Linked DNA regions of Arabidopsis thaliana. The protein of the gene in region 2 interacts with the protein of the main gene of each other region in a pairwise test. Each region holds a gene or a part of one and is shown on either strand. Other genes may lie near its edges. The genes, in order: ABCB16, SFP1, AT2G22425 and AT1G76185.

What was found.
Region 1: the proteins of SFP1 (region 2) and ABCB16 interact in a protein complementation assay, tested with the Arabidopsis thaliana proteins (one large-scale study listed by BioGRID).
Region 3: the proteins of SFP1 (region 2) and AT2G22425 interact in a protein complementation assay, tested with the Arabidopsis thaliana proteins (one large-scale study listed by BioGRID).
Region 4: the proteins of SFP1 (region 2) and AT1G76185 interact in a protein complementation assay, tested with the Arabidopsis thaliana proteins (one large-scale study listed by BioGRID).

What each region holds. Positions count from the first base shown.
Region 1 is NC_003074.8:10,610,524-10,618,298, reverse strand, and holds ABCB16 (P-glycoprotein 16), read left to right. Parts: upstream 1-1,937; 5' UTR 1,938-1,997; coding exon 1,998-2,195; intron 2,196-3,287; coding exon 3,288-3,342; intron 3,343-3,453; coding exon 3,454-3,632; intron 3,633-3,701; coding exon 3,702-4,159; intron 4,160-4,252; coding exon 4,253-4,793; intron 4,794-4,889; coding exon 4,890-5,768; intron 5,769-5,851; coding exon 5,852-7,228; 3' UTR 7,229-7,275; downstream 7,276-7,775.
Region 2 is NC_003076.8:9,646,687-9,654,553, reverse strand, and holds SFP1 (Major facilitator superfamily protein), read right to left. Parts: upstream 6,047-7,867; 5' UTR 5,597-6,046; coding exon 5,453-5,596; intron 5,311-5,452; coding exon 5,248-5,310; intron 4,104-5,247; coding exon 4,014-4,103; intron 3,882-4,013; coding exon 3,822-3,881; intron 3,682-3,821; coding exon 3,616-3,681; intron 3,531-3,615; coding exon 3,465-3,530; intron 3,297-3,464; coding exon 3,221-3,296; intron 3,074-3,220; coding exon 3,009-3,073; intron 2,910-3,008; coding exon 2,817-2,909; intron 2,676-2,816; coding exon 2,595-2,675; intron 2,503-2,594; coding exon 2,418-2,502; intron 2,051-2,417; coding exon 2,007-2,050; intron 1,632-2,006; coding exon 1,569-1,631; intron 1,485-1,568; coding exon 1,425-1,484; intron 1,335-1,424; coding exon 1,281-1,334; intron 1,173-1,280; coding exon 1,113-1,172; intron 1,012-1,112; coding exon 897-1,011; intron 518-896; coding exon 378-517; 3' UTR 128-377; downstream 1-127. UniProt on the Arabidopsis thaliana protein: Sugar transporter.
Region 3 is NC_003071.7:9,513,142-9,516,219, reverse strand, and holds AT2G22425 (Microsomal signal peptidase 12 kDa subunit (SPC12)), read right to left. Parts: upstream 1,526-3,078; 5' UTR 1,232-1,525; intron 1,148-1,231; 5' UTR 1,142-1,147; coding exon 863-1,141; 3' UTR 546-862; downstream 1-545. Other genes in the region: AT2G22420 (Peroxidase superfamily protein), read right to left, coding at 1,736-2,329, 2,401-2,592, 2,676-2,879. UniProt on the Arabidopsis thaliana protein: Component of the signal peptidase complex (SPC) which catalyzes the cleavage of N-terminal signal sequences from nascent proteins as they are translocated into the lumen of the endoplasmic reticulum. Dispensable for SPC enzymatic activity.
Region 4 is NC_003070.9:28,588,786-28,592,063, reverse strand, and holds AT1G76185 (NADH-ubiquinone oxidoreductase chain), read right to left. Parts: upstream 1,740-3,278; 5' UTR 1,568-1,739; coding exon 1,455-1,567; intron 1,115-1,454; coding exon 907-1,114; 3' UTR 533-906; downstream 1-532.

The DNA.
Region 1 (7,775 bases), on a different chromosome or scaffold from region 2:
TGATTTCTTCGTGATATTACCTAAGATGTGGAGGATATGAGGAAAGAGTTAAGCAGACATTATTTAAATGTCATCTTTCACTATAAACGTGGGTCTTATCTCTAATCTCATCGGCTTTTTAATTAGTTATCTTTGGAAAAAAATCAGGTTTTTGAAATTTTGTAAGCGGACAAAGAAGTTCATTTGTGATATCTCACATGGACTTTCGTGAGCCATCAGATATTTCAAGTCATACTATATCTGATTTCAAGGCTTGGAAGGAAGCTCAATTAACTTGCCGATGTAATAGTTCAACTGGTAAGGTCCATAACACATGAAAATTTTCAAGTGGATGGATCTTGGAAGGATTGCCAACCCTAGTTTTGTCTCTCTTTATTTAGAGTTTTTAAACCATGTTTTTTGAGGGGATCGAGAGACTAGATTTTGAGACTGATTGCGCGGAGTTGATCAAGATGATGCATTGTCTTGTTGATTGACCCGTCTTCTCTAGCTTTCTAGATGAGTTCGGACTACTTGAAATCCTTTTATTGTTTCTCGTTTTTTTCAGAAATAATTATTGTAATTGAAATTATAGAATGTATTGCATATTTTGTTGAGTACGTACTTTTCTATTGATTAATTATAAGACTTTGAACTACAAATCTCTTGATAGAAATCACACTTTGGCAGTGGAAAACATGGAATTATAAACATGGTGGTAGAGAGGAAGCATTGATTATAATATTTCACTTCCATATTGTATATTTCTTGGTTTTCTGGTTCACTATCGAGTCGTTTTTACTGTCTTCTTTGGTGGGCAACATGGAATCTTTAAAAGAAAGAGCATAATCTAAAGAGATTAGCAATCACTTTCATAAAGTATAAGCTAAAGAGATTAGCAATTTACTATTGTTTCCAATCAAACATTAAACTTTTAACAACACTCCCAGAGTGATTGTCCATATAAGATTTCACTACAGAAAATGGATGACGTCGATTTACCAGCTTCACTTCGTAAACCAACGTAAAATTTTTAATATATGAAGGTCCATTAAAATAAATGTCCACTACATAAATCAGAGTCTAAACTGTTTATTTGATTTATTAGCTTATGCTTAAGAACTTTTACGAGCTTCTTTGTAATTGACTTTAAAGCGAGACAATATTAACGTCATACAATAATACGACGGTCTCCAAACTGACGGTAGAAGTTTTAAGTCAGCTTATATATAACTGACGTTACACTTAATATTAACCGACGTAATTTGCCGTGTTCTCTTTGTAATGTTGCGAGAAAGACATCTATAAAAATTAGATCATAAAATTTGAGTCTAGAATAACATGCTAAACAATCTCCTGTACTATCTTTTTAAATCGAGTAGTCGCTGGTGACGTCCACAAGAAAAATTGCGGTCATTTTGCCAAATCATGAGAAGTCCCTTTAACTTTGCGAAAGTATGCAATAAAAACTCAAATAAGTATGTTTCCTAAAAAAAAAAAAAAATTGTATGGTATGAGAAATTTAAACTATTTTGATATTGACGTTCGTCGTTATGTCGTAAAATCAAATCAATATCTTTACAAAAGCATTGTGAATTAATGAAGAAATTAACCTAATTGTTTATCAAAGAAAAAGAAACAGCAATACACGAAAGTATTTGAAGTTCATACACAAATTAAATTTTGAAAACTAATTTATTAGCTTAAAGCCTTGAAGTACTCAGCATATATTATTTTATTTGTTTTCTTGTAGCTAGGTTACTGAGCCTGGTTCGCGTCTTCGCGAGGAGTTGTATAAGTTTTACCGAATTAAAATAGGTACTGCAGGTATATAACAGATGTTAACAAATAATATTATATATATCATATCATATCACTTTCGGTGAAGTCGCTCTGTCTCGGCTACTATATATAGAACAATCAGGAAGACGGAAAAAATAACATTACACTTGAAAAAAATCCACAAATATAAATGAAAAGAGAGAATCTTTTGTTCTTGAAGAAAAAGAGAGAAGAAGATGAAGACATGGGGAAGCATGAGATCAATATTCATGCATGCCGACGGTGTAGATTGGATGTTGATGGGATTAGGGTTAATCGGAGCCGTCGGTGATGGCTTCATCACTCCTATTCTTTTTTTCATCACAGCCATGCTATTGAACGACTTCGGTAGTTTCTCTTTCAACGATGAAACCTTCATGCAACCCATTTCCAAGGTCCTTTCTCTCTATCTCTCTTCTTTTCTCTTTGTTTTGGTTTATATTCTCTCTAAGTAGGATCATAATACTAATTTAAGTATATAAGATTATATACAATAATACAATATATATATATATATATTTAAATTATAGTATTTTAAAAATTAAATATTACATGAATTGTTTTATATAATTTTATATTCTTTGAGTTGTAAAGAGTAAAGCAAATTAAGCAATGCTATTTTTTCATTTAATGTTATTTAAATTGATTTTGTAGGTTAAGGGGATAAACAAAAAGTTTTGTTTCATTAAAATTTAAATTCAAAGAATTTAGTTTAATTTCCATAGGATATTATATTCTATAACTAAAAAAGTTGGTAAGCAAGAGTTCGAGACTGAAAGTGAGAGCCATGCTAATCTCTAAAATGATGACTAAAATACATATATTTTTGCTATTTAATACGTTCATAGCCAATTTAAATAAAAATATTTCTCACATTCCCATAAATTAGTTACTACCAAACATTCAAAGAAGAAGCAGATAGACTGGATTATGAAGGGCGGGTCAAAAAGGCAATTGAACATTGGCTTACTGGGTGTAGTTAGATTATTTTAGCCAAATAAACTAGCAATAATCCAACAATTATGATAGAATTAACTAAATTACAATATTTAAATGAGTAGACTTTTTTTTTTCCAATGAGTAGACTGTAGACATAACAAGTGGTTTCTCATGTAATGATGACAGAGAGTTGTACAAATTCCAGCCAAGAAATTTACCTTAAAATGGAAAATCAAAACTAGACATGACCAAGTAGACCAAGCATGGTGGGATTCTTAATTAAAACGATCGGCTTATGACTTTTTCAAAAAATAAAAAACTATCGTCTTACATATATGTCCATATGTGTATGTTAAATAGGGATAGCAATAAGAGAAATGTGAAAACCCAAATATTTTATTACATAATCTTAAACTTCTTACTATAACTCAACGTGTAGTAAGATTACGATTACTATATTGCCCCACATATCAATTACATTACTTAAATATATAGGAAAGAGTACTAATATAGTATCTTCCTTCTTTTTTTCACGTTGTAACTAACAGAATGCTCTAGCCATGCTTTATGTGGCTTGTGCATCTTGGGTGATATGTTTCCTTGGTAAGTGTGTTTCTTTCAATTTTTTTTTTATCAAATTAAAATATTAATTTGGTGCACCTCAATATAACAAATTTTGTTTAATTTTGTGGATGGGTTTAATATTTAAAACAGAAGGATATTGTTGGACAAGAACAGGGGAGAGACAAGCAGCAAAAATGAGAGAAAGGTACTTAAGAGCAGTGTTAAGACAAGATGTGGGTTACTTTGATCTTCATGTCACAAGCACTTCTGATATTATTACCAGTGTCTCTAGTGACAGCCTTGTCATTCAAGACTTCCTCAGTGAAAAGGTTTTCAATTTTTATTTATCATATTTCTTGTTCTTAAACAATTTTTTTGATGATTTTGAATTCAAACAGTTACCAAACATTTTGATGAATGCATCTGCGTTTGTCGGAAGCTACATAGTGGGTTTCATGTTGCTGTGGAGACTCACAATCGTAGGCTTCCCATTCATCATTCTCCTCTTGATCCCTGGACTAATGTACGGACGAGCCCTCATTGGCATCTCGAGGAAAATACGTGAGGAGTACAATGAAGCTGGTTCTATCGCCGAACAAGCCATCTCTTCGGTTAGAACCGTCTATGCATTTGTTAGTGAGAAGAAGATGATAGAAAAGTTCTCAGATGCGCTTCAAGGGTCGGTGAAGCTAGGGTTGAGACAAGGGCTAGCTAAAGGAATTGCTATTGGGAGCAATGGTATAGTTTATGCTATATGGGGGTTCTTGACTTGGTATGGAAGTCGGATGGTTATGAACTATGGCTACAAAGGTGGTACTGTCTCCACAGTCACAGTTTGCGTCACCTTTGGTGGCACGTAAGTATTTAAGTTTAAGTCTCTTGGCATTTCCTAACACACAAAAAAAAAAACATCTCTTAGTTTTGATATTTGGTATTTTACATTATGCAGAGCACTTGGTCAAGCATTGTCGAATCTTAAATATTTCTCCGAGGCGTTTGTGGCAGGGGAACGGATTCAAAAAATGATAAAAAGAGTCCCTGATATAGATTCAGACAACTTGAATGGTCATATTTTGGAGACTATAAGAGGAGAAGTTGAATTCAACAACGTGAAGTGCAAGTACCCGTCTAGACCCGAAACCCTAATCTTTGATGATTTATGTCTGAAAATTCCATCAGGGAAAACTGTAGCTCTGGTTGGCGGAAGTGGATCGGGAAAATCAACAGTGATATCGCTTTTACAAAGGTTCTATGACCCGAACGAAGGCGATATTCTCATTGATAGTGTGTCCATTAATAATATGCAAGTGAAATGGTTGAGATCGCAAATGGGTATGGTTAGCCAAGAGCCATCGCTCTTTGCCACATCGATAAAGGAGAACATATTATTTGGTAAAGAGGACGCATCCTTTGATGAAGTAGTGGAAGCAGCCAAGGCCTCAAATGCTCATAATTTTATTTCGCAATTTCCTCATGGTTACCAAACTCAGGTTTAGACTCATATCTTTAGAGTAAATTTTTAAAGCCTTTTTTGTGTTTAGTTTGTTAATGAGAACGTATATTTGGTTTTTGTGTAAACCGAAAAGGTTGGGGAGAGAGGAGTGCATATGTCGGGAGGCCAGAAGCAGAGAATCGCAATTGCACGAGCGTTAATCAAATCACCGATAATTCTTCTCCTAGACGAGGCAACAAGCGCATTGGATTTAGAATCTGAAAGGGTGGTCCAAGAAGCCTTAGACAATGCATCAGTTGGTCGTACAACTATTGTTATTGCCCACCGTCTCTCTACCATTCGTAATGCTGATATTATATGTGTTCTACATAATGGTTGCATTGTAGAAACTGGATCGCACGACAAACTCATGGAGATAGATGGTAAATACACTTCTCTAGTTCGCTTACAACAAATGAAGAATGAAGAATCATGTGATAACACTAGCGTAGGTGTGAAAGAGGGCCGAGTCTCGAGTTTAAGAAACGATTTGGATTATAATCCAAGAGACTTGGCTCATAGCATGAGTTCAAGCATTGTTACGAATCTTTCTGACTCGATTCCTCAAGATAAGAAGCCGCTTGTGCCATCGTTTAAGAGATTGATGGCAATGAATAGACCAGAGTGGAAACATGCATTATGTGGTTGCTTAAGTGCATCCTTAGGTGGGGCCGTACAACCAATTTACGCATATTCGTCCGGGTTAATGATATCGGTATTTTTCCTAACCAACCATGAGCAGATCAAAGAGAATACAAGAATTTACGTGTTATTATTTTTTGGTCTAGCTCTATTCACTTTTTTTACTAGTATCAGTCAACAATATAGTTTTTCCTACATGGGAGAATACCTGACTAAACGTATCCGAGAACAGATGCTCTCGAAGATACTAACGTTTGAAGTCAATTGGTTCGATGAGGAAGAGAACTCAAGTGGTGCAATTTGCTCCAGACTAGCGAAAGATGCTAACGTGGTATATTTTCTGCCTTATTAATTTGACCTTCAATGAGAAATATATTTACCATTTATTGATCTTGAATTGCTTTGTCATGATAGGTAAGGTCGCTCGTTGGTGAAAGAATGTCATTGCTGGTACAAACCATATCAACAGTTATGGTAGCTTGCACAATTGGTTTGGTCATCGCTTGGAGATTCACCATTGTGATGATTTCAGTACAACCAGTAATTATTGTCTGCTATTATATTCAACGTGTTCTGCTCAAGAACATGTCGAAAAAAGCCATCATTGCCCAAGATGAAAGCAGTAAACTAGCTGCAGAGGCTGTCTCCAACATCCGAACCATCACAACCTTCTCATCACAAGAACGGATCATGAAATTACTCGAGAGAGTTCAAGAAGGTCCACGAAGAGAAAGTGCCCGCCAATCATGGTTAGCTGGGATTATGTTGGGGACTACGCAAAGCCTTATAACGTGCACCTCAGCTTTGAATTTTTGGTATGGTGGTAAATTAATCGCTGATGGGAAGATGGTATCAAAAGCATTCTTTGAGTTATTTTTGATCTTTAAGACTACAGGCCGGGCTATTGCCGAAGCTGGGACAATGACGACAGATCTAGCCAAGGGCTCAAATTCAGTTGACTCAGTATTCACAGTGTTAGATCGTCGAACCACCATTGAGCCGGAGAATCCGGATGGGTATATCTTAGAAAAAATAAAGGGCCAAATCACATTTCTCAATGTGGACTTCGCTTACCCAACGCGACCTAATATGGTTATATTCAACAACTTCTCCATAGAGATCCACGAGGGAAAGTCGACAGCGATCGTAGGTCCAAGTCGGTCGGGTAAGTCAACTGTAATCGGGTTAATCGAACGGTTCTATGACCCGTTACAAGGTATTGTGAAAATCGATGGCCGTGATATAAGGTCGTATCATCTAAGATCACTTCGTCAACACATGTCTTTGGTTAGTCAAGAACCAACATTATTCGCGGGGACAATCCGAGAAAACATAATGTATGGACGAGCATCTAACAAGATCGACGAGTCGGAGATTATCGAGGCAGGAAAGACGGCAAACGCTCACGAGTTCATTACATCACTATCAGACGGCTATGATACGTACTGCGGAGACAGAGGAGTACAATTGTCTGGTGGTCAAAAACAGAGGATAGCTATCGCCCGAACGATTTTAAAGAATCCATCAATTTTGCTCCTCGATGAAGCTACAAGCGCTTTGGACAGCCAATCAGAGCGTGTAGTGCAAGACGCCCTCGAACATGTGATGGTAGGGAAAACAAGCGTTGTGATCGCACATAGGCTTAGCACGATCCAGAACTGCGACACGATTGCTGTTTTAGACAAAGGAAAAGTTGTAGAAAGTGGGACACACGCTTCCTTGTTAGCAAAAGGTCCCACAGGCTCTTATTTCTCATTGGTCAGTCTTCAGAGAAAGGTCAGATATGTATAAATTATAAATTCACATATGTTTCACAAGCCTAAAACATGAAGCATGTTACCATGTAGACGTATTATTGGGTTTGTTAGTTGTTGGTGTAAAAATAATGCTGGGGTTCATTGCGTCTATACCTTTTAAAACCAAAGAACATGATCACTGTTGATGAAACTAGCTACGGACTAGTATTATTTCCTTCATCATTGCACGTTTGGTTAAGTTTCTAGACAAGTGGTTTCTTAGATCCTGAGAGGTGAAAAGTCAATGTCTTACCATCTTGGGACCGAGTAAATAAATCTTTCCTCAAGCAACCACAAGTGAGATTGGCTTTAACTAAGACACCTCCTTATCCTACAATGGATAAAAGAAAAACTTGTACATATCAAAGTTTACAGAAACAATAAACTTTGACAATGCAATCTTAGTCATGTTGACAGATTCTCCTCGCTTTCATAGCCAAGTGAGAACGGGTTCTCTGATCATCATCAGTCTCTTCACTATTATCGTAGCAGTCAAAGTACCTACCTATACAGATGCGGACATGCCTACATACTTTCAGGAT
Region 2 (7,867 bases):
TTTTCGAAATATATAGTTTTCTAAATATACTAGCTACTTCATATTAAACAGCAATATTAGGACTTAACAGTTTAGATTAATTAATCGCATGTTTATTGTTCATCATTAATTACCCTAGTTACCCAATACTAGAAATCAATCTCTTCTTTAATATATGTCCGAAAAATATTACATTTGCAATTTTAGAGATAAAATACACATGTACGTAGGCCAAGTTTTACATCTCGTAAATATACATCATAAAAATGGGGCTAATTACCCAGAAAAATAAAGTAGTAATTACATAATGAAAAAAAAAAATCCTTGTTTGTAAATAAACAAATATAACACCATAAACTGAATTTGATCATTTTTATAATAAAATAAAATAATTCAAATTAAGTTTGATTTCTTTCATCGGGCTGATGAATAAGTGAAACTTGTATTTCTTCGAGTGATAATCCTTTCGTTTCTGGAACGAGCAACCATATAAAAAGCAACGCTGCTCCACCGATACCCGCGAATATGAAAAACGTTCCTATTACATTAATTAAACTATATAAGAAAATTATAAATTAAATGCAATTATAATATATATATATATATATATAGACATTAGGAGAAAATAAAATAAATACAAACTATATAACATATTCACTCAACCAAAAATTTAACTAATTAGTCTTTTAAAATAAAATAAACAAATAGTTGTGTTATAAAATGTATATGAGGTTTCATTGAAATGCTATAAACACAGACTTTGAAAACTATATAAGTTTTCTAGACTTAATCATTGATTATTTCTATGCGATATACAAAAAAAAAGGATAAGTTATAACTTTTTTTGTTGATCACAAGATAATTTATATAACCAAAATTGTATAAAATGGATATTAAGAAAAAGAAAAACATAATACCTTGAGTGCTCCATTCGAACAGAAAGTTGAAAGCGTAAGTGACGATTGAACTACTTGAAAATGAGACTAACGTAACTATACTTCCTGCAGTTACTTTTATATTTATTGGAAATATCTGCACACACCAAAAATCATACATATATTACTTTATTTTTCAAGACATATTACTTACTTCCTGCATAGAAATAAAATTAACAGTGAAGTAAATTTATGTACCTCCGACATAATTACCCAAGGTAGACCTCCCAAGCCTATTGCATAAGTTGCAATATACATCTGCCGATTTAAAAAATATCAATTTTAACTATATTTTATATGTAAAAGAAACATCAACGTAAATATTTTCATCAAAAAGATTGTGTACAAGGAGATATAATGTCTTACCATTACGCATATAAACGATAATATTGGAGTTAGTTCCGAAAGCAATTGCATTTTCTGCTCATGCAAAAACATTGTTAAACAAATAAGTTATTGGTTTAAAAACAGAATAAATAAAAATAGTAATTATCTTACAAAAAAAATAACCTGTAATGTGAAGGCGACCCCAAGTAGCATGCAAGTCATGCTCATCCCAAACGCTGAAGTCTATGTCAAAATAGTAATCAAATCAATATAGACTAATAGATTTGAATCTGCGAACAGCCAGAAATTATTTAAAGACATGCTCACCATCAGGAGAGGACGTCTGCCCCATTTATCGACAAGAATGAGGCCAATCATGGCTTTTGGAATCTGCGAATAGCCAGATATTATACCATTCAATGCTTTCACGAGTTAAAAGAAAAAAAACTAGTACATGAAAATTCTTAGTTCAAAGAGTTCATTAAAGTACGAAATTTTAACAAAATAAAAAATGTCGTTTTTTCAACTGTGATAAAATGTCGATTAAAACGCCAACATCACACAAGTTTTGTTTTTTTTTGAATATTTGGAAGTTGAAACCCAAAAATTCTATATCTCCTAGAAACGCGACCTATACCAGGTTAAATAACATCACACAAGTTTAGTTGCTCAATAACAACAGATTTCAGAGACGTAGTTTCATTTCTTAAATTTTGCATCCATATAGTCAAACAAAATTTGAGAAAAACATTTATATATACTTACCACGAAGATACCTAGCATCGTCGTTCCAATGGCCACCGAAAAACCTGTTTCCATCCAGAACAATTATTGAGCAAAAAAAAATGGAAAGAGGAACTCATGGTAAATATTTACTAAAACCCTTTCTCTTAAAGTATTTAGAATGAGCTAATGGCATCATTTTACAAAATAAATACACAATTTAATTTTATTTTGAGAAATCTTAGGAGTTCAGGACCTTTGCCCATAATCTATTGATTGGTAGAATAAAATATGTTTTGTTAGAAAAAAAAACATTCTCAGAGAAACTGAAACTTCTATGCAAATCTTCACTTGCAGATTTGAACAGATTGTCATATAATATATATATAGTTATTATTATTTCTGACATTTTAATATAAAATTAAACATTAATAAAAATAAATGAATGCTTACCAGCTTTTCTAAAAATGGTACTTGCATAAGAGATTACAGCAGCACTTCCTGAGAATTGTTGTATCAACATTAGCCCGATTCCTACCTGAGATATTAATTAAAAATGAATGCTTGTGCAGATAAATTAAATATGAAAATTTGATACTCTAGAAATTAGTTTGATGTACTTGTACGTACCACGAGGGTGTATCTATACTTTCTCTGGAACAAATCTGAAAAACTCGACTTTGAATCATTTTCCACCATTTTGGTCATTACCTGAAAACAACACAGAATTATTCAGACTTTACATTTTTTTATTTGTGAAGGAATGAAAATATAATTTCAAAGAAAAAGGGAATGTATATTTATTGAAAATTATATAAATTATAACTGATAATAGTATATAGTAAAACTCACTTGAATTTCTGAGGCTTCACGTGAAATATCAGCATCTCTTCCTCTAAGCCGAAACAGTGAATTTTCTAGTTCTTTATCGGAGCCAACTTTGGCCTTCAAAATGAAAATAGTTTGGTTTAAATTTTTTTCTTCTCATGGTTGATAATAATTAATAAATTACGTAAAACACTAAAGAAAAATTAAATGACCAACCAGCCATCTTGGAGACTCTGGCACGAAGAATAAACCGATTACTTGAATGAAGCATGGTAAAGCACCTAAACCAAAAACGTATTACATTTTTATCAGTTGATTTGCTATAATATAACAGCTGAAGATTTCCAGTTTTTTTCTACTATACATTTAACATATTCTTACGTCTCAAAACAATTTTTTCACGATGAATATGGAATTTATAGTCTTACCTAATAAAGCCAACGTCCTCCAAGTGATGAAATTCCCACAGAAATAAATCATGGCGAGTCCAGCGTTTTGAAGAAGCTAATAATCAATAATTACACAAGAATGAAACAAGGATCAATATACTCACGAGAAATTTTGAAAAGTTTTAATTTGGATTTTGGTTGGTTTGTCTTAGACTAGTTTGTGCTATTTTTTTTTTTTGTCAGCACTCATTCTTATAAATATTCTAAAAACCTAAAGTATTACCTGGTTTGAAAACGTAAATGTACCACGAACATGTTTTGGCGTAATTTCTGCTATGTAGACAGGTACCTGCTTGGTAAATAAGCAAAAATTACAGATCAGAAAACAAACTTACAAAGATGATATTAAATAATAATAATAATAAGTTAATTACCACATAGCTCGTCAAGCCGAAACCTATCCCTGAAATGATTCTTCCGAAGTTCAGCAACACTACTTCCTATTGTATTCCAAAACATAACATAAATTTAATTATTGGGTTTATAATAACCATAAATTAATTGGTTTGTTTATTTTCTAAGAAATAATGTTTGAATGAAAAAAAAAACATGTTTATGAATAGAAAATAACTAGTAGTACCTTAGCAAAAGCGATGGAGAGCCAACCAGTGATGCATAGGAAATCGGAGACCCACATTGTCTATTATATCATAAATAGCAAAAATATTATTATAAGCATCATATATACGAAAATTATAGTCACGAAAGAACCAAAAAAATAGAAGAATGGTAAAATTACGAATATGAAAGGTGAAATGGTTAAATTAATTACCCCTCTTCTGCCAATGACCATTGCCAGATTACCGCAGAACAGTGCACCAATTGCAGCTCCTAAAGTGGCGAATGAGCCAAAAGCTGAAAACTGAGAAAAAAATGATTTATAACAAATATAGTTTTCATATATATAGTATTATTATTATTATTTTTAATATATATATATATATATATATATATATAATATTTCAATATTTCAAATTTCTATTATTGTAGATGAGAGAATTGGCCGGAGAATGGTTCTGGAACGATGGAAACGTTGATAGCTAGATAATGTTTTTATAAGATGATTTTGACAACCGCTCAATATATCAGGATATATGTGCATATATATAGTTTTGGTAGGGTTATTATTATGATAAATAATGTTTTTTTTTGGATGATTTCGACAATTCCATATATATCAGGATAATATATATATATAGTTTTGGTAGGGTTATGATAAGAGTTTAAAAAATGGGTAAAAAAGGAGGTGAACCACACCAACAAAGAAGTATAATCAACTCAATGGGATAACGACAATCTATATGTTTCTTCTTTAGAATTGATGGTTGTTTGTTTCAATTTGAATGAATAAAGAAACAAATATTTACGGATTTAAAAATGATGTGAAGCTTGTATTTTGATAAAAATTGAACGATAATTAACCTAGCTATTTTTTGCATATGTCAATATGTCACTCGCTCTCAGTTGCTTAATTATACACAAAACTTTGTTTGTTTGTTTAAGGATGATAGTATAAAAGAATTAACTTTGAATGGATGTGGTTTTTAAACTAGTTTTTGGTTTTAGTTTTTTCTAAAATCTATTTTGTAACCATTCAAAATTTTGAAAAAACAAGTTTTCTTAAAAAAATAGGGAATCTAGTTTTTGAGTGTTTTAACAACTTTTCAAAGAAAATCAAAATCTATGTTTTGAGAGTTTCTCTATAAAAAAACCATCGATCACATTTTTTATTTTATTTTTAGATTTTTTTTGTAAAATAAAATATAATCCATTAACATAAAAACCAAAATCTAAACAAATTACCATTCAAGTTTTTAAGAAACTAAAATCTACACCAAAAACAAAAACCAAGAAAATCAAAAACTAAAAACCAAAATCCAAAAACCATTTTAAAAACTACAAACATTCATGGCCTTAGTCTTTTTTTTTTGATAAAATTTGCTACTTGGTTAATTTTCAATACATGTTTTTAGAAATAGAAGAAAAACCGTAAAAGAGAGACATACTTGCGCGATAGAAAGATCCAAGTCCTTCATAACTCCTGTCTCAGCACCTGAAGTGTAACCAGTCTGTATAAAAACAACAAAAACTATAAGAAAATAGGTATAACGTAATTATGAAGTATGTTTTCTTTTCATACAATTTTGTTGTTTTCATTTGTTCTTCTATAGAAGAAGAAAAAATCAAAGTAAGGTAAAGTAGAAAACTCACAGCAACACCAAAAGAGAAGGAGCCACAAACGGCGACAAAAGTGCTAAGGATAACACAAGCAGTAATACGACACTCTGAATCGTCGTTTTTGTTCTTGAGCTGCAAAAGCCCTTCTTCTATGCTTCTTCCTTCCTCCATCACCATCCCTTACACTTGCATGTACTAATATGACGAAACTTATGGTAAAGAAACAGTGAGAGCTAGAGAGAAAATGCTCTGTTTTTAGCAAAAAACCAAGAGAGCTAGAGAAAGAAGAGAAAGAGAGCGAATGATGTGTTTGTCAATTTAGACTACGTATAAAAAGAGGCTGGGAATTAAAAATGGTTATTTTGGTTTTCTACTCTTTAGGGGTTTTGGATTGGAAAAGCTAACGTGTGGACGTGAGACGTTTTTTTAAACAAGATCAAGTCAAATTTCATTAAACCAAGTTTTGTTGTTTTAAATTATAAAAATACAGCTAAGTATTAGTATATGATCATTCATCATCTGGATTCTAAAATAGTTTGACGTATACAAAATGCTAAACACTTTGAAAAAATATCCTTTAACCAGCAAATGGTGAAGACTTCTAATTAAGGGTTGGATTGGAAAGCTAACGTGGACGCGTAAGACCTTTTTTGTAAGACTTTGGGTTTTATTGGTAACCAAAAGCTGTACAAAATTTTTATTTGTTAGCTTTATCGGAATAGTACAAAGCTGTTAAAAGGAACTGTATAAAAAAAGCTGAGAGTAAAACACTTTTTGTAACGTTTTTGATAAAAAAATTGTGATTGGTAACTGTCAAAACGGTACAAAACTGTATTGTTATTAAAATGGTTACCATTCAAACCCTTTATATCATTTTAAGTCAAATTTCATTCAACTAAGTTTTCTTCTTGAAAAAATAAATACAAGTACTATTTAAATTATTATTATATGATCATTTGTCATGAGCGTATTCTTAAATAGTTTGACGAATTAAAAATACTGTAGTATGAAAAAAATATTGACATATTCTTTAAAATACCAAAGTTTTTTTTATAACAAATTATAAACAACGATTAATCGTCTATAGCGAATGATCCTAGTTATATGTCAATGTGGAGAAAGCTCTTTTCACATATAATTGGAAGCAATAATCTGAGTCAGGACATATACGTTACCTTGGATCAACAAAAATCGACAGTTACTCTTTTTTTCTCTCTGAAAGATTATTCTCAACTTGTAAAAGTGACGTCTTCTCTTGTTGATTGGTCCCTTATCTCAACGTATCTAGATGGATTCACGATAAGTATTATTTTGAATTCCATGCAATTTAAATTATATTAATGTGTATATATTGCTGGTTTGGATTATGGAATATTTTAACTTAAATTCATATCTTTGAGTAAAAAAAATATCTCTCCAAGACTATAACATTATAAGTTTGAATGGTAACACAATACAGCTTTGTACAGTATTGATAGTTATCAATCACAAAAACTTTATCAAAAACGTTACAAAAAGTTTTCTTCTTAGATTTTTTGTACAGTTTTTTTATACAGCTCTTTTAACAGTTTTGCACTATTTCGATAAAGTTAACAGCTAAAAAACTTGTACAACTTTTGGTTATCAATCAGATCCTATATTCGGGTGTTTTAAGAAGTTTTCACTCGTAACCAAAAGAAAATTGGATGACGATGGAACTCCATATTTGATGTAGAAAAAACAATCATTTATAGTCATTCATAATCATTGGATGAAAACCGTACGTTTCAACCTTTTTGTTTCTTTTTTTACATTAACTTGTTTAAATACCTCACAAGTTATTAGAACCTTTTAGTCATTCTTTGATTGAGTTTGCTAATACTTTTAATTAAATGTTTAATTAATCATAATTTAACGTTTTTGTCCTCCGTTGTTATTATTCTTACGTGAGGATCTATATTTGTACCTGTTACCATCTAGAAATGGAACCAAGTATTTAATTTTATTCATCAGTCTGCTGCTGAATTTTAAATATTAGGAGATTATAAAAAAAGAAAGGTCAACTAAAGAATTCGTAACGCGTACGGATCAACTATAATATCAATAAATGCTATTTTTGACAAATTATCAAATCTACAAATATTTTTAAACGCTTAATGACATATCTGTCCAAATAAACCATACAGAAGGAGAAATGATTAATGGAACTATATAACTAACGATAGTACTAATTTAAGTGTTGTCTAAAATTTTGTATAAACAACTTTAATCTAAAATCGGATAGACAGAAACATGTTAGAATTCAACATGTTATCTGACAATTAATCCATATGTAATTGTACATACAAATAGTCGTTTGGAATTTGAAACTACTAACTACATCAATTAATCATCGAAACGAAGTACATAGATAAGACCCTTGGAACATTAGATAGAGAACCAACTTACTTGCCTTAAATTCTCCTGAAT
Region 3 (3,078 bases), on a different chromosome or scaffold from region 2:
ATTCAAGATATACGTTTGTCATATATACCTTGTATTTGATTTTGTCTCTAGAGTTGACTAGTTTCTTACAATCACTGAATTTTCCTCTATTGTTTATCCACATGATGTATTTTTTTTGCGATACCATGTAGATTTTGGCTATTGCTACTTCCGGAGAGCTCTCTCTTTGTTTGTGAATTTGCTTCATCCTTCTGGTGAAGGTATACTTTTCATATCCTCTGCTTCTTCCTAATGCTGACCTAACTAAACCACTCCTTTTTCTCCACAGCTCATTTACAAGCATCCTGCCAAATGTTGGTTCTCTCAAATTCTGATTCCAAACCTGTACGCGTTCGCTGATTCAACTGTCATTTCGTTTCATAAGCCTATGACCTACCTTTAAGCGTTCGCGTTCGCCAGATGACTCGAATCTCCCGGAATATGAACCCGTGCAAATCCTCTGACCAGCGACTAGCGGAACAGTTTGGAATCACACAAACTATTTCTACTTCGACTCAAGAAAATAAGAAGGAGCAAAGCATCAAAGACTAGCATTGGTTTTTGCACACAAGCTTAACACAGAGTGTAAATGGATGGTGTGATATTTATGTACCATTTTCATAAAAACTGAGACTTTTGTGATTCATAAGACTTTTTCATCTAAAACTCTCTGATGATAGATAATCTACACAATTCAGTGAAATTGCCAGATTACAGCCATAGCCATTGATTCAAAAGCAAATTCCTTTGGCAAAAACAGATAATTATAAGAATCAACCCAGAATATTCAATTCATAATTAAGATTCCGATCCACAAATATCTCATACAAACAATTCTGAGAGAGAGAGAGAGAGAGAGAGAGAGAGAGATTCAGAATCAGACCTATTTCTTAGAGAATTTCTTCTTCGAAGCAACACTGACAACTTCTGGTTTGGGATGCTTCTCGGCTTCGCTCGGATCTAACCATTTGAGAGGATGAAGATTGTAGAAAGGCCAATTAGGTACAGTAACCAAAGTCGTGAGAACAACACCACCGGCATAGATCAGCATCATCGTCCTGAACGATTCCGTTGTGTAGCCAACAACCACCGCTACAACGCCGGAGATCACCAGTAAGATCTGCATCAGCTGCTCCACCAGTTTCTGTCCTTGCCAATCCATTTTCTTCTACACAACGAAATCAAAAACCATTAGCGATTTGAATCCAAAGTTAAACAAAAGAGAGAATCTGAGAACCCTAATTGCACAAACCTTTAGCGATCTGATCTCTCACTGAATCTGTAAACCTGATTTTCAACAATGGGGAAGAAAAGAAAGGACTCTTGACATTTATGAGCTAAGACCACAAAATCGGTTTAAAAGTAAACCGGATAAAGTGGACGGTCAGATTACTCTATAACCGGGTGAACCGGCGGTTTTTAATGTGCCTTAATTATTTCGAGATTTTGTATATGTGCAAATTCTGAAACCTTGAAACAAGGAATATTTACATTTAAGTTTCTTTGTGTGTACCTCAGAATTAGAATGTTGCTACTTGTCCAGTCCATAATTTGTTTATTGGGACAACAACTTCAGTGATTAGATAATGTTTACTATTTTATAGACTGGTGTGACCAGATTGTAGCTTTAGCAGTGACCAGTATTCATAAACCAAAATCAAAGTTTTGGAGAACCAAGATCCATGGCATGTAGCTAAAAAGATTTGCATCAATTTAGAAGTCATAATTAAGATTTCTTCTCTTTACTAATGATAATTCAAGATACAAGCAATACATCAATAGGCCTTCTATTAACAACTCTACAATTAAACCTAATCTCACCAGGTCTCCCAGATTGCAAATCACCCAACTTCACCATGCCTTCTGCAAAAGCCCTAAAGAACTCATCTTGATCCTCACTAAACATCTTCACATACTCTCTCGTCACTAGATTCGTGTACAAAGTCTGATCAGAGTTAAGAAACCCTCTCCCTGAAACCAAGTCTTTGAAATACTGATTATCAAAAACCTGAGGTGTTGCATCTAGATCTCCAGTCACATTCTCATCTCCACCCAAAGGACAAAGCTTATCAAGCTTCTTACGGTAACTCGGTTCAAGAGCTGGATCCGGTTTACCAGAACCGGATTGGTTATAAAGTCTGAACATGATTGAAAAACACCGACCTTGACCTATTGAGTGTGACCCTGATAAAGCAACCATGTCTTTTACAGAAAGATTGAATCTTTCGAAGAGATCAATCAAGAAAGTTGCGTTGGCTCTTGGACTTGGCATTATATCGTCGGAATCTTGCTGACTCGCTGTTAAACTGTCTTTCCTCCCTAGCTTCACTTCCCAATCTGGTCCTCCTGTCTGGTTTTTTCAAAGACCAAAATTACAAAACCGAGATTTCACTAAACCGGGGAAATTGAATTTTGACTTACAAGAGCAACGGCGTCACGAGCGGCCATGATAACGATATCGGCACAAGAAACAGTAGCTGGACAAGCTTTCTCTAGAGCTTCTTTAATGTCGTCAACGACTTCGAAAGATCTTAGTGAATCGATGTTGGAAAGTGATAGTTTTTCACCAAGCATGTTTGGTGTGTCGTCAAGCAACAGAGATGCGTCACATCCCTGAATTTGATGATTCAAAGAAAAATTCAGAGAGGAAAACAGAGTAAAGATCAAGAACAGAGAGAAAGATTTATAGTGTTTACATTGACGAAACAGTCGTGAAATTGGAAACGCATGACGGAAGCGACGCTTCTTGCTTCTTTGATCATTGCTTTCTTCATTTCTCTTCTTACTATGGATTCAGCTTCAGGGCATGTCTCGCTGTAGAATCTTGGTCGGAGAGTTTCTCCAGTAACAACCACCGTCAAAAGTGTTAGGTAGAGGATGAGATGGGGAAGAAGAGACATACTTTTTTCTTTTTTGGTGTTGTGTTTCAGTGATTGAAGAAGAAGTAGAGACTTTGTTTGTTGGGTTATAAAGAGGTTTTTGGTGGTTTTCGAGAATGATACTAAAGGCTTTTGTGTTTATAGATGGAATTTGTGCAAGTGTGGTCTCTGGTGGTGGTGGGCATTCCAATTTCTATAATTTATTTCTTTAATAAATAGA
Region 4 (3,278 bases), on a different chromosome or scaffold from region 2:
GCTTATTTGATTGTTTTTAGTTGCTTTTCAAATTTGTCCACAAATTGGATCACGACCACTCGTGGAGTTATGTACTGACCTTCTACAAATATCTAGAGATTTTCGATCTTTCTAATTATTTCCGTTTCAAAACATGAATTACGACTAAATGCAATTATCTTGGTTACTAACACACTTGTTTTTGTCATTGTCATTAATGAACTTTGACAAAGCTATATCACCATGTAGACAGTATCTCATTATTTGGAAATTAAGTTAATCAAATCAAGCTAAGCTAGTGTATTGACAGACCATAACATTACAAATAATACTAACTATTACCACTTTTTCTTTAACAAGATACTAAAGTAGTTGCAGAGCGCAAAGGTAATGATAGAAACATGTGAGCGTTTCGAGCAAGTTGCTTGCTACTTTTCATTTTATAGTTCTCTCTTCTACTTTCATGAGTGTTCGTTGTTTTTCTTTTTCTCGTCACATGAAAATCCTGCAAATCATTTTTTAAAAACTTTTTACAGCCAACAAATCTAAATCACTTCATCATGATATTAAGTGTAACATAGATAGATGGAAAAACTATCTTTAATCACAAAACGCTCAAGTTAACAATCCGTGATCGTGCCTAGGAAAAATAAAGCAACCTCCCATACTACTTTATACAGGAAAACAACCTTTACAGCACTTTTGTTCTGATTTGTCTAAGCTAAGCCTTGAAATTGCAGTCCCTGGTTTCATATCTCAAGTTCAGGTCGATTCTTCAAAGGACAAAAGCGATGCGTCCCAGAGTCAGTCTGAGCTTAGCTGTCATCTTCATCAATGCATATGGGCACAAAACTCATGCCAGAGAAGAGTTGTGGTTTGGTTGTGTGAGAAGATAAACGGTTCGCAACAGCTCAATGGTTTCGGTCTTTACATAGAGAGAGGAAGAAGCATCCTTCGCTTCTTCTTCCTAGCATGTCTCACTTGCTTTGTGATTTTCATACAGAGGAGTAATAGTAAGGTGACACAAAGCAGGATAAAAGCAAGTTGCAACCGCCTGAAGTACAAGGATACAGCTGAAAACACCACGAGTGCTAACATCACTAGTTCCCATATGACAAAGACTACAACATCAACCCTGAATCAAAAGCAAACGAAACGAATAGCATAAGTACCACTATAGAATGTTCATTGTCAAAATTTAACAATAGAATCCAGATTGCAACAGAGTCGATAAGAATGAAAAGTGTATGTCAAATTGTCAAAGATGGTTCAACGTGGACAAGTCAAAATTATAGTTCCTTGTGTAGGATTCACATAGATATCCAATGTTCAACGACAATCCCTTAAAAGATGAGAAATTTACGGTTCCAATTGAATTAAATATCACAAAGTACAATTTTTCAAATACAACTCTAAGCACGCAGCTCCAAATCACAGCAGATTAAAAAGGAAAGGATAAGCCGGAGATCTCTAACCTGGAGGAAGAGAAATTGGAGGTGGAAGAGAAGAAAGAAACGGAGGCCCAATCATGCTTTGATCTAATCTGATATTCCCTGAGCTGTTCTGCTAGATTCGATCTTGTTATCATCGCTTCTTCTCCACCAAGTCCCGATCACAGTCCCGATTCGACGAAGAGCTCAAGAAGCGTTTGAGAATCACGAGATGTAGGAAAAATCTATCACCAACATATAACTAGAATCTAGAAATCCAAAACAATGGAAAAACAAAATCTGTGAATTGGAAAATTTCGCATCAAAATTTTACAGCGACGAAACGGTGTCCGATTCGTTAGGAATTCGGCGAACGTTGCGTGGACTCTCTCGGTGTCAACAACCGGGTCGGGTTATAGATCCGATCTGGATTCTTAAGCCCATTTTATGGGTATTGGGCTTTTACCGTTACTCTTTTGTTTTGAGTTGTCATCATATATGAAAACTTTGTTCCGATGCCATGAAATTTGGGCTTTTAAGAATCATGAAAACTTTGTTCTAACAGAAATAGAAACATCAAAGAAAAAGAAATAAAACAGCGATGCATCGATTGATTCTCATGTCCCACCAAGTAAAGCGAGTGCTAAATATTGTTGAATATTCCTGATTTGACCACAATAAGGAAAATATCACGCCCATAAAACTCAGACGGGCGGTGAAAAAGAAGAAATCGACAGAAGAACAAACGCATGACGTTCATTACTTAGCACTAATCTGAAACTTTCGAATTATAGTATTTGATCCATATGTATTCTACGTTTTTCAGAAAACTTTGTTCAGATATCTCAAACTTTCGAATTAATTAATATTATTTTAAAATCTATAGTTTAGTTGTGAATTCTAAGTGTCGGCTACAATTTGTCGGTTCGCTATCACCGAAAACATTATCCAAAGAATAAGTTAAGAGCTGAGCTTCGGTGTATATGACAACAAGAACCAAAAAGACGAATAAGTTAGTATTGAAAAAGATAGGTTTGTTTGATATGTGTGTTGATACGTCACGGTTCGTGCTACGTCTTTGTTAAATTTAGAGACCAGAGATTACTGATGTGGCACGTCGGTTCATTTTTTTTATTTTAGGCGAATTTTAAGAGATGATGCATTTACCGATTACCATCTGTCCTTCATTAATATTTTTAGTATATCTTTTTCAATAGGTCGAAAATGACATCCCACACATTAACATATTAATTCATAAGAAATCCAAGTCATCTTATGCTCATTTGTCTACTCATGATTTCATTATCTACATCTAAGTTTATCTTTAAAAACTGCATGAAAACATAACCATTTACGTTGAAAAAATACATACACAAACCCTTTTCCCATAAACGAGATTACGAAAGATTGTTTTATGTGCCCCAAAAATGGTAAACAAAAGATGATGCTAACTTTCTATTCGTTCTAAAATCTAAATCTTTAGTTTTAGTTTGTTTATGTCCACGATCATTTCTTTGATAATACTTTTGGCGGATTCACAAGCGCAAATTACCCGTCTTATTGTAGCATTAGGACTAAAAATGAGATCCGGTAGCATTGCAACAACACCTTCCTAATCGATTGAGCCAATCGGACTTATATTACTTGTTGGATTTGTTTTTTTTTTTGTTTAGAGTATCCAAGATCATGTATTTACAATTTCAAAGATCATGCGTTACTAGATTGGCCTCTTCAACATGTTTAGTGAATAATAAGTTAAAATAACACCTAATCGTTGAGGATTCATAGCGTGATAAGAATTAAATAACCAAGTTCTTATTGGTTTGTTTGTATTTTGTAACGCATAGAATAGAAGAAAGAAAAAATAAG